Styela clava: one gene and its partner. Each later gene encodes a partner of the first gene's protein in a complex. Links are inferred from orthologs where the notes say so. Each region holds a gene or a part of one and is shown in the gene's direction. Other genes may lie near its edges.

What was found. The genes of interacting proteins can lie anywhere in the genome.
Region 2: transcription termination factor 2-like (region 1) and A-kinase anchor protein 17A-like share a complex: the UniProt entries of both Homo sapiens proteins name them as parts of the spliceosome. The link is inferred for Styela clava from reciprocal best matches to the Homo sapiens genes TTF2 and AKAP17A.

Annotation. Positions count from the first base shown.
Region 1 is NC_135253.1:7,957,315-7,965,196, reverse strand, and holds the start of transcription termination factor 2-like, read left to right. Parts: upstream 1-4,861; 5' UTR 4,862-4,865; coding exon 4,866-6,008; intron 6,009-6,246; coding exon 6,247-6,336; intron 6,337-7,194; coding exon 7,195-7,519; intron 7,520-7,882. Other genes in the region: integrator complex subunit 7-like, read right to left, coding at 291-475, 1,197-1,343, 1,863-1,992, 3,127-3,181; BLOC-1-related complex subunit 6-like, read left to right, coding at 3,969-4,316. UniProt on the Homo sapiens protein: DsDNA-dependent ATPase which acts as a transcription termination factor by coupling ATP hydrolysis with removal of RNA polymerase II from the DNA template. May contribute to mitotic transcription repression. May also be involved in pre-mRNA splicing.
Region 2 is NC_135263.1:13,032,211-13,039,431, reverse strand, and holds the start of A-kinase anchor protein 17A-like, read left to right. Parts: upstream 1-4,206; 5' UTR 4,207-4,353; coding exon 4,354-4,470; intron 4,471-5,661; coding exon 5,662-5,774; intron 5,775-5,918; coding exon 5,919-6,018; intron 6,019-7,056; coding exon 7,057-7,209; intron 7,210-7,221. Other genes in the region: dynein light chain 2, cytoplasmic, read left to right, coding at 1-32. UniProt on the Homo sapiens protein: Splice factor regulating alternative splice site selection for certain mRNA precursors. Mediates regulation of pre-mRNA splicing in a PKA-dependent manner.

The DNA of each region.
Region 1 (7,882 bases):
TTTAACATGAACTGTTTCATGCCTTCACTCCATACAAGGCTGTTCACAAGCAATCTTTTATTAGATAATGTGATCTCATACCCAGCATCTTTCCTGATGTGGAAATCAGATAATCAATGCTGAACTTAGAAAATCTAAACTTTAAATACAGAAACAATGATAAAATGAACATCCATTTTTTAATAGGAATATTTAGTTTGAGTCATAAAACTGATGGATAAAAAATACATCAATTTGGAATGTTCTAAACACTATATAGATATCCATGTATGATAGTTGACAGCACATACCCTGTAACATTGTTGCAATCTTATTGCAAATACTTGTAGCAAATTCCCCCGAATGTGAAGCAAATTGAATAGTTGCATATATTGCAGCTTCCTGCTCAACACGATCATGCGAATCCAAACCTTGTCTTATACTGTGGTGAACACTTTTTTCATCACTTATTATACAAGCAATACTGCCCAGCATCCTGAAAAATTACCAAGTCATTAACAGCTACCGGTAATTGAAATTGGCTAATTCAAATCTCATCTCACCCCCCACGCACACACACATCTACACCAGGGTGATTGACAGGGGTCCACCAGGGTGATTAACAGGGGTGTAGCCAGAAATTTTCATGGGGGGGGTTCTGAAATTTTTATTTGGCAAGTTAGATCGAAACAGCTAGCGGGACTAATCGACTCTAGAATACGCGTGTTTTTATTAGTCTTGAGGGTCTAAAAAGCATTTAAAGCTACGAAAAATTGCTATCTATGATACAGAAAAAAGATTTTATTTTTTTTACATTTCAAAAGGGGGGTTTCGACCCGCAAAACCACCCCTCTGGCTACGCCACTGGTAATTGATCAGGCAATTACAAGTCAGAAAGATCCCGGTCCTCCCAAATATTGTTAGAGATCAGTGGCAGCTCGTAAAGAGCCTTGCTAAGAGCGAACAAAGTGTGTGAGCATCATATTAAATAAAATAAAAAATGAGTAGTGAAATATAAGTAGTTAGCATGATGAAATACATTTGGTAAGGAATATAATTGTATTGATCCAGCTTTCGAAATAGGCCTACTAATGGTTCACAATGAATAGATTAAGATCCTAATTGCAACAAAAATGAACAAAAAAAAAATATTGAGATTGTATGCGATAGTCGGTCTGGTAGAACAAGGTTGAGGAACTCATTTTTAGAAAACCAACCTTAAAGTTATTGCTCTTGCATATGGATCATTGCTATGAATAACTACAGAAATTCTTCTTCTAAATTCTGTTATGTTGAGAATTTTATCAAGATGTTTATTGCTTTGCTGAGACACTCGAAGTATACAAAGACGAAGAAAATTATTCCTGAAAAAATAATTTGTCAGTTTGTCGATGTTTAAAAACCGAGAATTTCTATCCATAAGTATATACATAAAAATGATCGCTGCGATTTGTTCGAACTAACAAAAACTGTACCTACTTCGTGACAAATATGCTTTTAGAGAAATGATAAAAACCCTAATGTTTTATTAATCAAGATTCAAACTGAAAACCTGAATACGACAATAGATTGACTGCGCTTCATCTAACATCAAGTATCAAAATACGATGCTTGAGGGAAATATATGAAGAGATTCAGTTATAGTAGGCCTATATATATAAATACATATGTTGATTTACACATGTCAAATAAAATTGCTACACATTTCATAATTCTTCATGACTGTATCAGTGCATACCTATTTTCATTACTTCAAATGCTTGATCATCATTAATAAAAAAGGCTGCTTTACGCTACCGTTTTTACTAACACAATTAGTCTATAGCCTTAACCAAATTTATTTTTAAGAAATATTCATTTCTGATAAGGAATCTGATGTTTACCCAACACGAAACACATCTGCCAGCTTCAAGAATGCAGAGTTGATAAGAATTGGGAATGGAAATCTCTCAAATAATCCAGGAAATCGAACAATTGCTTCACATTGCTGGCCAACTTTTTGAGCACGAAGACCTTTGAAAGAATATTGAATAAAATAATATTTGAATATCAGGATACTGTGGTACTGTTATATAAGTATAAGTATAAGTTTATTTCGACTCCATAATCAGCAAAACAATAAAATGAATGCTAAAAATAAATAAATAAAAACTGATTATGAAATCAGGAGAGCGAACAAAACCTTAGATAAGGTTTAAAACGTACAGAATGTATATAAGATGGAAGGTTTTGCCAAGAAGATGTGGTACGTGTTCACTCACCTAAAATAATTGAAATATTTCACACACGCTCACACGCACCCACACACACAACCATATAGAAGTTATTAAGTAAAGGGAACATGAAAAATTACATACTGGTAGTTAATAAAAAATAAATAAATAAAAATTACTTGCCACACCATATGTTATGTTACATAAATTAAAAGATAGCAAAAATTCATGGCTCGGCGGTGTGGCGCTTCGTGCTAAGCATTACTGATATGCTCTGATTGCTCTGCGTGGATTCTCAGGTTCGAATCTTGCGGGGGATGGAATGGTGGTCGGTACAGCTTCCTCCACCATCAAGTTCATGCATCGAAAAACGAATACCTGACTGACTAATCCCATATTCGACATGGACTGGTAACCGAACGGGAGGCTGTGGTTCATCAATGGATTAAGCCGTTTTATTGACTTTGCTCTCCCCCAGGATAAATAAGTAAATCCTATCCTATATCTAACTCTTTACACTTACCAGTCTGCCAGTGAATTGCTAATATAGGACAGTAGGAACAGACTATTTTTGCACAGAAACAAGTAAAATAACTCCATATACTGATATACCCGGTACTGATATACTGATATATATACTATTTTCAATATTGTGTAAATGGTCATACAGTCACAAGTGAGATTGCCCATGTTATGTATCCATTATTCTATTTTGTTACATAAACATAAATCAAAACAATCCAAAACGTAAGCATACAAACAGTAGGCAAATATATTAACAATAGAATTTTACTTTTATGCCATGTTAAAACCTTATTATGCCATTTTTTGTACGATGGCGAGTTCAAATAAATTATTTTATGTTATTTATTTGTTCATATGTTGTATTCATTGTACTACTGACCTAAGAGTAGATTATTACAAGCAGGCTTACCTTTATCAAGTTCCATGAGCGCCGAGTTGGCATCTTGATTTTGTTCGTCCATCATGATTGACTTATGATTTGTAATGATAGGCAGACGCCAAAATATTCAAAGGAAAAGAGGAAGCCTGTTTACAGAATGGCTAGCGAAATGCGATGTGCTAAGTAGATCCTCTCGCCACGAGCAATCGTCTTGAGTGAAGTCATGCGTGCAGGTATCGTGAAATCACGTGTTATAATTGAAAGAGAAAAAAAGGGTGATCGTTCTCTTCGCGGGGGAATTCGGTTTGCGTATTCCATAATACTGTAATACGTACCGTAATACACTTGGGGAGGAATCCTTGGCATGGTTATGTTGAGCATAATTCAGTGATTTGGGGTTCATTATCGTCGACATATTATTATTATTCTGTGACATCGTCGTCCATAAACTTCCGGATTTTTTTGGTACACTCTCTGCATTTGAAACGCGATATCAGGATACTGGGATATGTGCTAAGTTAAAATTATCACGAGGATATAGCCTATTTCTGTATTTGAATATGGATAGCAAAAGTATGATTGCATAGTTTGCTGCAATGCATAAATTTGTCACTGAAGCACATTGTACAGGGCAGCTCTCTGCCTATGATTGGTGATGTAAAAATATTGTAAGAAATTGAAAAGTCTTAGAACAAACTTTTGTGCAATGAATAATTCATATCTGTTCCAGTTCACAATAATATCTGAATATGTGATGTAAAACTGTAATAGAGTAATGCCAGCTGTGTCTGTTCAATAGTTGCAGATTATTTCAGTATATACATATTTGTTTGGTACTTCAGTAGGCTACTGTAACAAACCAATGTTGCAATATGTCTGGTTTGAATGATGACTTTCCTGCGATTGATAGCACTGTACTGGATGATCTTGAACGGCAAACAGAAAAACTCTCTAACAGCCTTGGCAATATAGTTAAGAAACTGACTAATAAACTACACGAGACATCAGCAATTACTGTGGCTAATTCACAAACATATAGCAGTGCAATTGAAGCTATGGGAGTTGAGATTGATGACTCAATGAAATCGATGTACATGCTGATTGCTCATTGTGAGGAACTTGATAAAGCAATGGTTCCTGTGTATAAAGTTGGTCAAAGCATCAAAAAAATTCAAAATTCTCTGCTGATGCTAGAAGCTCAAGTTGCTCAAATACCATGATTACAGTTTTTTTTTATTCAGACTAGGAATCTTATGTATTAGTTTATGAGTCTTCGATAAAGTAATAATAACTAATTCTTAATATAAAATAATAAATATAGAATCATTTTGTTTTGACATTCAAATTTTTTTTTTATTTCAAAAAATTCCAAATTTTACATTATTGTTATGAATTGTGAAATACAATAATATACTGCTGTACTGATATACTGCTTATATATTTAATCAAATGAAACATGTCTATTCAAGTGTTATATTACATCAAAGCCATTTTTAATAGGCATTTCTATTTGCAGATTTCAACAAGTAATATTAACTAATTTGTAATTTCTATGCAAGTGTTAGGACAGAATTATGCATTTTATTGTTTTACCTAAGTTTTATTATTTATTTTCGATGGTTTGAATTTGTTTTTGCTTTGTTTGATTATTTAGGGTTGAGCCTGATTATTAATCTATTTATTTAACTTCGAATAATATTAAAAATATTAATTTGGTTTTACATCTGACAATGCTTTGATCTCAGTTTCAGTATTGTATTATATTCCTAATGGCCGAGGTAAGTTCCAGTAATTCAAACGATCATTCCCACAATCGTAAGGCTTTGACTGTAGGAACAAGATATTGTGGAACTGTCACAGTTTATAAAGAAGATAAAGGATATGGATTTTTTTCGGTCCCTAATCACGATAATGTATTTTTTCATATGACGACAATGCGAAATTGTGGTATTACATCAGGAATATCGAGGGGTGATAAATTTTGCTTCGATGTTAAAGAACACATTGGTCGTGATAGTAAACTGGATTTTAGAGCAGAAGCAGTTACAAGACTTGAACGAAATCATCAAATGCAGAACCAGGATAGCAGGAAACAACCTCACAAGCATGATAAACACCAACATGGCACGTATAGTAATGGTAACTCCGGAGCATTCGTTTCGATCCCACATCCTCATGATGTCAAAGTTCACGGTAAAAAAGAGGTTTCTTCGAAACATGGTGAAATAGTTGAAAAAAATTTGTACAGAGAAAAGCACGAACGGAGACCAAAACCGAAGCCTATAGATTTAAGCTCAGGAAAAATTCGTGTTGGTCCCCCATGCGTTGTTCCTGCAATGAGGAAAGGGCCAATTGTAGTCTCTGCCACTGGGCCTAATTCTGCTGGAATGGCCCCAAGACTAGAGGATCCTGAAGTTGTGAGACTGAAAGAGAACATTGGTAAGAAAAAAACACTTTTTCGCAGTTTAAAACTAGATAAACTTCCAGATGGTGGTAGAAGACTGAAAGATGAAATAAACAATTTGGAACTTGAACTGCAAAAATTATCCATGAAAAGCAAAAATAAAGATAAAAGTCATGATTCAACTCCTTCAAAACTCATTGACAAAGAGAATCAACTACCTCTTTCAAACGCTGATGCAATGCCTAAGCATACACGACCATGGTTAGAGTCATATTCAAGAAAGCCTGATGCTCAAGGTGCTGTAATGATAGCACCTCCTATGGCTTTTAACTCTGCTCCTGATAGGAAACTTACTCAAACAAAACTTACGTTCCCAAAAGCGGAACCATTTGGGGCGAGAACAGGAAAATTAGATCTTAGTGCATATGATATGGGTCCAATGCAATTTAACGATGGTCCGTTATATGGAGGAAGAATGACAAGTGCTCGTCTGACTGAAGTCCGTCAGGTAATATATTATACCATAGTTGTACTTCTAATCTTCTTGAGAATATTTCATATTGTAATCTAAAATTTAAAAGCTTAGCTTTTTATTATCGTTTTTCATTCAGTCAGCTGGTCAGCATTTTTATTGCCTAAATGTTTAAAATTATTCATACCCTAATTTTGGGTAGTATTTACTATTTAGTATCCGAGATATAACCAAATATTGAAATGAGTTTCATGATTATTATTATTATTCCCAGATAACAAAGGCTGCAATTGAGGACCTTCACAAGTCTCTGGAAACGAGACCTGAACCCACAGGAGAACTGGATGATCCTGAAGGCCTGAAGGTTAGATAAATGAATTCCATCAAAAGATGTATGCAAGTGTGGTCCATATAAAAACATTTCTTGATACTTGGTCATCTTCTAAGATTGAGTAAGAAAATGCAGTTTTGTGTAAACGCTAGGGCTGGGAATTTCAGGGAAACACCTCAGCATGACGTTTGACATAATAATTTATAATATTAACTTGTTACGTCACAATGGCTGCAAAGTAATTTCAGGTGGTCTTATCCCAGTATCAATCAAAATTATTCATGAAGCGAGATAGTTTCATGATTGCTCTTCTGCAAAATGATATGCAGCATGCTTTGCACATATGGAAGTATTTTAGTAAAACCCGATTCCATTATTAAATGTTATTTATGTGACAAATTTTCAGTGTTTGATGTGCAAATTCTATTTTGAGATACCATAAGAAAAACAGCATTACCTGCACACTTGTTGGATGACATTAAGTAGGCCTATATGATTTTGCAATAAAATTGTGAACTATAATATAGGCTACTTCGACCGAAAACTGATTCTGAATTTATCATTGTCAAATTTTCATAATCAGCAATATTTTTTTGAATTAAAATGCCGCAGAAGATAAATTTGCGATGACGTAATCATTTTTAAAAAATAGTACATTATAAAGAGGATTTGTACCCAAGATGTCAGTCAACGGTTAAAATAAATCAGGACCTCCTGAAGTATACGCACCAAGATGGCCCACAACCTGAACTCAGGTTGTGTACCAGGTTAGGGTTCAGGTTGTGCGACATCTTGGTGCGCATACTTCAGGAGTACCATAAATTATAACCATGAACGGTGAACCAAAACGTATATTGCACATATACTGAAATAAACCCTGTTTCTCTACAGGTAACATTAATGACCCATCAACGACAAGCACTTGCTTGGTTAGTGTGGAGAGAACAACAATCTATGTCTGGTGGAATTCTGGCTGATGATATGGGTCTTGGCAAAACTCTTACGATGATCTGTCTTATATTGAAACAAAGAGAATTGTCTGATGAAAACAAAGACACTAAAATCCAGATTAAAGAAGAGGATGACATCAAAGACTTTAATAGCTCAAGTGAATCAGACGATTCTGTTATTTTAATTGAAAATGAGAAAACTGAATCAAAAATCAAACGGGAAGTTAAAGGTGGCAGTAAAGAAGAAAGTGACATTGGTGAAACAGGTAATTGGATTTGTTTTTTGAAGCATGGTTGATTTACAATTGTAAGCTTTAGTATACATTCCACATTTTAAAAAAAAGAGCACACACCCAGGATAACTTTTTTATTTGAAGCTCTGAAATAATATAGATATACCGCAAATAAGTTATTTAGTTTCAAACTCATTCGGTATAATTAACATCTATCTGCTGTACAGTGATAGTAACAAAAAATTATTTATGAAATCATTCTATGTCTCTAATAAAACTTCTAAAGGACTGTTCTACAGTAGCAGTACTTCTCATAAAAATATACTCATATTGCGTATCTGCGTTGAAATTCCTAACATAATTTTGCTAATACTGGAATGAAATTTTTAGAAAATT
Region 2 (7,221 bases), on another chromosome or scaffold:
AAATCGCCATTCTTCTTTTCAAGTCAGGATAAAACCCGTAACAAACATTATGATACTTATCATAAATACATGTACAATTCACTGTTCACTGAGTGTTTCCTATTGTGCTCACTGTGCAATGTGATCAACAATTTTGCTGTCTTTGATGTAAAAATTTTCTACTTTATTTCTATTCCATTTTGTATAACTCTGTCTAGTTATTTTCGTCTTCAAAGCGACGTGTGATGTAAATCCTAGCGATATCATATTTGACTGAGACAAGTAGTGAGATAGTAGTGAACTGGCGAGTTTGAAAACACCGATTAGTAAGCTTTACATAGTTAGATTCGAATAATTATGGTTTATTTTTATGCCATTTCAAAATATCTGCGCTTTACATCTGGGCTGTTATCAACTTACCGTCTCGCTTTCCTGGCGTAATGAGCGAAAATATTTTTATGACTTGATAAAATTTACGTTTGTCTCCCCAAGAAGTTAGATATTGCTCCACAATTTTCAGATTCGCAATTATTAAATTTACACGACCTCAAGCTACAGGAGTAAAAACATTAGCGCCAGTGTTATGGGGACTACCTTGTGAACTCAAATAGCACCAGCTTAATCATATTACAACTCTGATGAAATGTAGTCTTCAAGACAATTACAGTAGATTCATAGAATACGGACGTCAGGTCGGGTATAAAATTAGCAGACCAGTTAGGTACATACGGACCAGCAAACGTATCAGCCATTACCACTGTATTTGACGCAGAGGTAGTCAGTCACGCGATGGAAATCGTATTTCCTAACGCTCATCACGGTACATCAGAAGATTGCTTTTAAATTCATAGCCTTAATCGTTCGGTTACGTCTGTTTTCAATTTCAAGACAATCCAGACGATAGGCATACTAGGTAATATATATATTAGCACAGATCTTGATGTCGAGGATATTTGCCAATTCTTGTACTGTCACTTGTCCACTCAAGCTGTGCAATTAATTAATATGTAAAAAAAACTTGAAGAGAAGTGTCATTAGAAAATTGAGCCATAAGAATGTAAACATTATCTTTGTGCATAGATGATGCAATAGAAAATATTGCGAAGTACAGAATTTTCTGTGGGACCTTGAGTGTGTTTGGATGTACAATCTCAATTTTTATAAGATAGGCTAATGCGCCATAATTGTTTCAAGAATCAACATTTGCATTTATTTTTGAAGTTTGTTTTTCTAGTTATTTGGGTATCTAAGGATAATTTTGCTGTCATTGCATCGATCTCAGGATCTATATTTAAATTCCGTGTTTCCTAAGAACCACCAACGATTTGTCGTACAAAATCAAGCAGAACGACAAAATATATATCGTCACGCTAATAACCGAATTGCGTAAGTCATTTTTCGCAGTTTTGAGAAAAACGTAAAAAACTTCCTAATGATATTGTTATGCCATTGAGAGTCAATAATTTGCCATGGTTCAATTTTTTTTATCGTAGTCGGATTTAAGTTAATTTGTATGACGCAGTTAAGTGACGTCATAATGGCGCACTGTGACTTAGGCAGAAATGTGTCTATGACTTGGGGACTAACGCAATTTTGCAACTTCACTATATGCACCAGTCTTGAAAACTAAACATTCCAAAAACGAATATAATTCTCAGTATCTACAATGTCTTATCCCCAAAATAGCTAATCAGTTCCAATTAAATTATTTTTTATGTTTAAAAATAAAGCCAACCAAGGTAAATTGGACTCGGGACAGTAAATATCACAAGTGCACGTCTTCCTATACTGTAGTAAAAATTCAAATTAATACGCGCTAAGCTAGAATCCGAGAGGCAAAAACTCAAAAATACGTCGCCGAGGTTATTTTGCTTTTGTGACGTCACAATAGTCCTGCGGTAACACTGATAATTCATTATGACGAAACAATTGCACAAATGTGCATGTCATACTAAATCTCCATGGGTTTCGGAATTCCTAAAATAAAATCTGAGTTAACCGAAAGGTGCGCAGCATTACATAAATACCCATTTTATAAAAAACTCAAAATCGCCAAAAAGGACTCACGCAATTCGGTTATTAGCGTTACGATATTTTCCATGATTTTTTTTTTTGTCTCATATCGCTTAACTACGTATATATATGTCATCAACAGAAACCTCAAATTTTCTCCGATTTGCCTGAACAACAAAATTAATTTTTCCTAAATTTCCAATATGATGTCTAATGTGATGTTGGTAAAAAACAAATCTTACAGTTTAATTGAGCTTTCAGAAACATATTTCGTCCAGTCATTAACAATTTCAAATTTCTTCCTCAGATTATTATACCAAGGATTGAAATAATTAGATGCAAATTCCAATCCGCACGGCGAAGATAATTATCCGTATTAGGTTAATAATAAGAGTTCCTGCATGTGACGTGTCACGCTATTACGTTTGTTATTAATATTGATTCGCTGTTTAATTAAGGTGTATAAACACTGCTTGATATCTTTTCAGTGAGGTTTTAGGATTGTATTCTGTACTATTGTCGAAAACTACAATAAAATCTATAAGTCTGTCTACTCATCAAAGTTGGGGGTAACCCATGCTGTGATCGTTGGTACAGAAACGAATTACGAGTTTGGGACAAAACTTTTGTCAGAAAATTCTGGGTCATCTAATACAATTCTGACCAACAAATCGTATGTTGACACTTGACAGAATTCATCACTAGATATTGCGCTGCTACAGCGTAGATAAAAATGCTATTTTAAGTAATTATCAGAGCCGTGCTGCAACCTTTAGAAGACCATTACATCAATATTCTTCGAATGTTAGACAATTTTCAAGTTGTCCCGAACCGTATTGATCAAGTTTGTTACGAAACATCGAAAAAATCTCAGGTTTGGGCTCATTCATGATCAGGGAATGTTACGAACGATTTGAAATACACTTTTCGTGTTTTAATTCTTTGAAAAATAACAAATTGTCTCGGATCAAATACAATTAGAATTGACTACAAATCAATATAAAATTACTACACATTATGCTAGAAAAATAATTGGCCCAGTGATTTTTTGTCCCTTCCAGCATAAAAATTATTCACGAACAGCTATTGTCGTATGTTCTTTTTTTTGTTTGATTGTAACATCAACAAAACTTGAGCAAATAAAGTATAGGGATAGTTTATTTCAAAGCTCATGTTTTGTGCATTGGTATACAGTAGCCTATATCTAGCACGCAATATCGTTTTCAAGTTTTATCCATTGTTAGTTGTTGGCAAGAGATGTAACTACTATTGTTGTGCTATTTTTATGTCCATATACTCTTTCAGTCACACGTATTGTCCTATCAGTACCGTTCTGATCAGTTTTTTAGGGAAGTTATATAAAGCCTTTTGGTATTTCAAAATTGCTTCCCGAGCAATACCGTGATATTTTCCTTTCTCGCGTTCGGTTGTGTTATGTCGCTTAAAATTACATTCTTTCTTGACAGCTATCACTTGAAAACACACCGGCCGCTGTGGTTTAACGTTGTTGTGGATAAGGGAATACGTTTTTTCATTAAACTCGTTGTATGATGAATTGTTATATTTGACTAATTTTATAACTCATAGATCGTGAGGCGCAACGTCAGCTATGTGGTTCGTCACTGCTGTCTTGAAAATAGAGTAGTCTTTTTATTGAAATGAAGGCACAAAACGTCTCGCGAGCTTAAGGCACTGATCTTAGATAAAATGACAATTCACTTCCTTGTACTGATAACAGGACGCCACGCGAGTTTGACATCCCTGGTTTAGTGCACGTTAAAATTGTTCTGGAGACGTACGAAATGTGTCGATGGGCAGCAGTTTGGACCACCCTAACCTAACAAATGATGTTTTGGCAGTTTTGCGGAAATTTAGATGTAAATCAAAATGCCTTCTTCCGAGTTCTGATTTACCGTGTTTCCCCGAAAATAGGACAGGGAATTATCTCAATTTTCTCTCGAAAAATAACACAGAGTGATCATTGAATTATCTGATTTAGATTTAAATTTCCGGAACACAACTGAAAAGAAAATCGATTTTATATTAATGAAGACGAAAATTACCAAGAACAACAACAAAATATCAAAACGATCCATAGGTCCACCCACTTGTCCAATAAACAATTCTGTGAGCTCCCGCTCGTGAAAGCACTTGCAAAACGAGCTTAAAAATTTAGCGAGGTCAAGGGTCGACTAAACAACAACAAATAACTTGTGCTCCAACCAAATGGCCCCCTAAAGGCGCCAGAGTACTGTAATGCATTCAGGTTGCAGGTTCGTGTTTTACTGTTTGTGATTTTTACTTAGTCTGCATTTCGCCATTTTCAAGCTGGGTAAGGCACGTTCAAGGAATACTGTGGAGATGAATACAACGCTTGTAAGCGATTTATCAGACGTGGAAAATCTTTGCCCGTCGCTGAATCTACATTTAAAGCCGTACGCTAAAGTTAATGTCTGCGTTGCGTTGCCGCAAATGAAGGTAAATTTTGAGAATGTAGAGCTGAGCTTCAACTGACGTAATCTACCATTGGCTGCATAATCCAGTAATGAGATAATGCAGTACGATAATGCATTGGACTTGCACCAAACCGCCTAACCCTGTAACCTCCATAACTTCTGGAGAAATGAATGAAATAGCCAATGAACACCTGTACAACACGCATATTTCGGCTTGTATTAACAAGCCAAAACATATGTCAATAAAAAAATATATGGGCCTCTTGAAATGTGAGACGCTTTAATAGGTACCTTTATCACGTTCTGTTTGCTCTGATTAATTGACTTGACCTATGTAAAAATCCACATCTGCATCATCTTCACCGTTTTGTAGACTGGACTGTGCATCAAAGCCCCAGTTGGGATGTTCCCTTTAAATAATTTTACACTTGTGTATTCAAGTGTTTCAAATTCTGTTAGTTTCACGCTAGGTTTTTCACGGGGCCTTGGTAGATTTGCATGTAGGCTCAGACATTTGGTGTGCATACGTCACTGATTGAACGCCAGGATTTTTCATTTGCACGCCTTATTTATTGGGAAGAAGGCCATGAAATCCAGACTGGTTGAAGGTGTAAGATCGCAGTTGTACATATTTGGCAGTACATATTCTGAAAATGATTATGTCTCTATGTCTCTTTTTTGTACTAAATGCTAAAATGACTGAACTATTGAGTGGGAGTGGTGACTCCTCTGCGGCCCATGGGCCGGGGCCACGGCCCATCGAATTGGGCCTCGGCCCATCAGGCTATGGGCCGCGGCCCATCAAGTTGTGTAAAGAAACTATTCACTTGGCTAACACAGACAGTCCCCGAACTCATAATAGAACTATAATGTAAAAAATCTGAATTTTTTTTGTCCTAACCCTAACCTGGTACACATACTACAGGAGTATATTTTTTTGGTTTGAATATTGACAATTTGGTAAAAATTGAAAATTTTGTTAAGATAATTGAATTTTTCCTGATGGGGCCATGTGGCCCAATTAGATGGGTCGTGGCCCCGGCCCATGGGCCGTAGAGGAGTCACCACTCCTGTAGGAACTATTCTCCCCAATCTGCCCTATTCATGTAAAAAGTTACTACCGAAAGACTGGCCTGGTCTATTCATATATAGCCTGATTGTATTTTGTTTTAGGCTTTGTTTTTGCGTACCTAACTTGATTTTATTTGTTTAGGTTGTTGGACAGACGATATCAAACTGGGAAGTAATGGAAAAGTTAAAAACAATGTGCACCCCTCACCAATTCACATTGCTTCGAGTGGCAAAGAGTAACTTGGAATTTGTTAGGTTGTAGTTTTATGATATACCTTGTTTTCTATTTAATTGGGGGTCAATTGTATACCAGATCTGATGTTTGGCAGAATTGTTTTACCTTGATTACATCGAAATGATTCTGTAAATTGTTTAAAATTATTGTTTTTTGTTGTCTAGATTTGAAGGTGAAGTGGAAAATAAATCACTAGTTTCTACATTTGTTTCAATGTTGGATGGAAAACATATCAAATTATCTGGGTTTTCGGGCTTGCTCAAGGTACAACAATTTTTATTTTGTTTTCATAAAGTGGTCCGTGTGACTTTATTAGAGCTTGACAATCCTTGCCTACATGAACTGTTCAAAAAATTGAGAGATCTCCAAAATTAGGGGTTCTCAAAACTGTTGAGTGTTAAGAGTTAAAAATGCACATCCCAATACCTTGTCTAGTTAATTATAACGGATTCAGTTTTTTCTTTGTGTACTTCTCAGCAAAATGATAAACAACCATAAATATAGATAAAATTGTAGCCCGAGAAATTCAAAATTGCATTTAGAAGGGTCACAAATTCAGAACTAGTTTGATGACATTATTACCGTATATGCTAACCGTATTATTATTACTGTACAACAGCAATCAAAATGCAAGAGTGCAATTATTTGTCATGGTAATAGATGGATAATACAAGTTCCACTGAAAGAAGGTATTGCCACCATAAGGACCCCCAATCCATTCCTGTGATTACTAACTCCACAGCTTCAAATCGATTCTAATTATAAAACTAGCGTTTTCTGTCGATACTAACTTTTTCTCATCGTGTACACTCTTGAAAAGTCATTTTAAATGTTACTCCGTATAATAACTTTTCAGTTATGACCATGCATGAAATGGCTAATCATATGGGAAATATTGGGAAACCAGTTATGCATGGGCGAGATCATAACCCAGATTGAGCTTACTATTGCGATACCCTGTTGATGTCGAAGCATAAAGACTAGCCATTGTCACAGTTTTGAATATCGCTTGAAAGAATATCCTGAGCTCAGTTAAAAATATGTTAAATAAATTACTGCTGATATTTGTACAGCTTTCTTATGTGAGAAAATTTTAAATGGTTTACCCGTCTGCAAAATTGGTTTTAAAATTTCATGGTCCGCAAGCTGAAAATAGTTGAAAACCATTGATTTAAAATAGCAGATTTTTCATTGTTGACCTTCTCTGCTCGCGTTTCTCTACATAACTCGAAAGTAATTAACACATCAAATAAATTGTGATGAAAAATATTAGCTAAATAAGTTGCATTTAACATCATTTAGGTGACATGTGGAGAAAGCAAAATACCATTTCCATCTCGTCATGACTGGGATTCATATTTTCGTGATTCAAAAGATTATGATGAGACTCAGCCAGGAGAACGTCCAGACACAGTACACATAAGCAATATACCCTGCAAATTTTTTATGCCAAAGGTGGGTATTGTA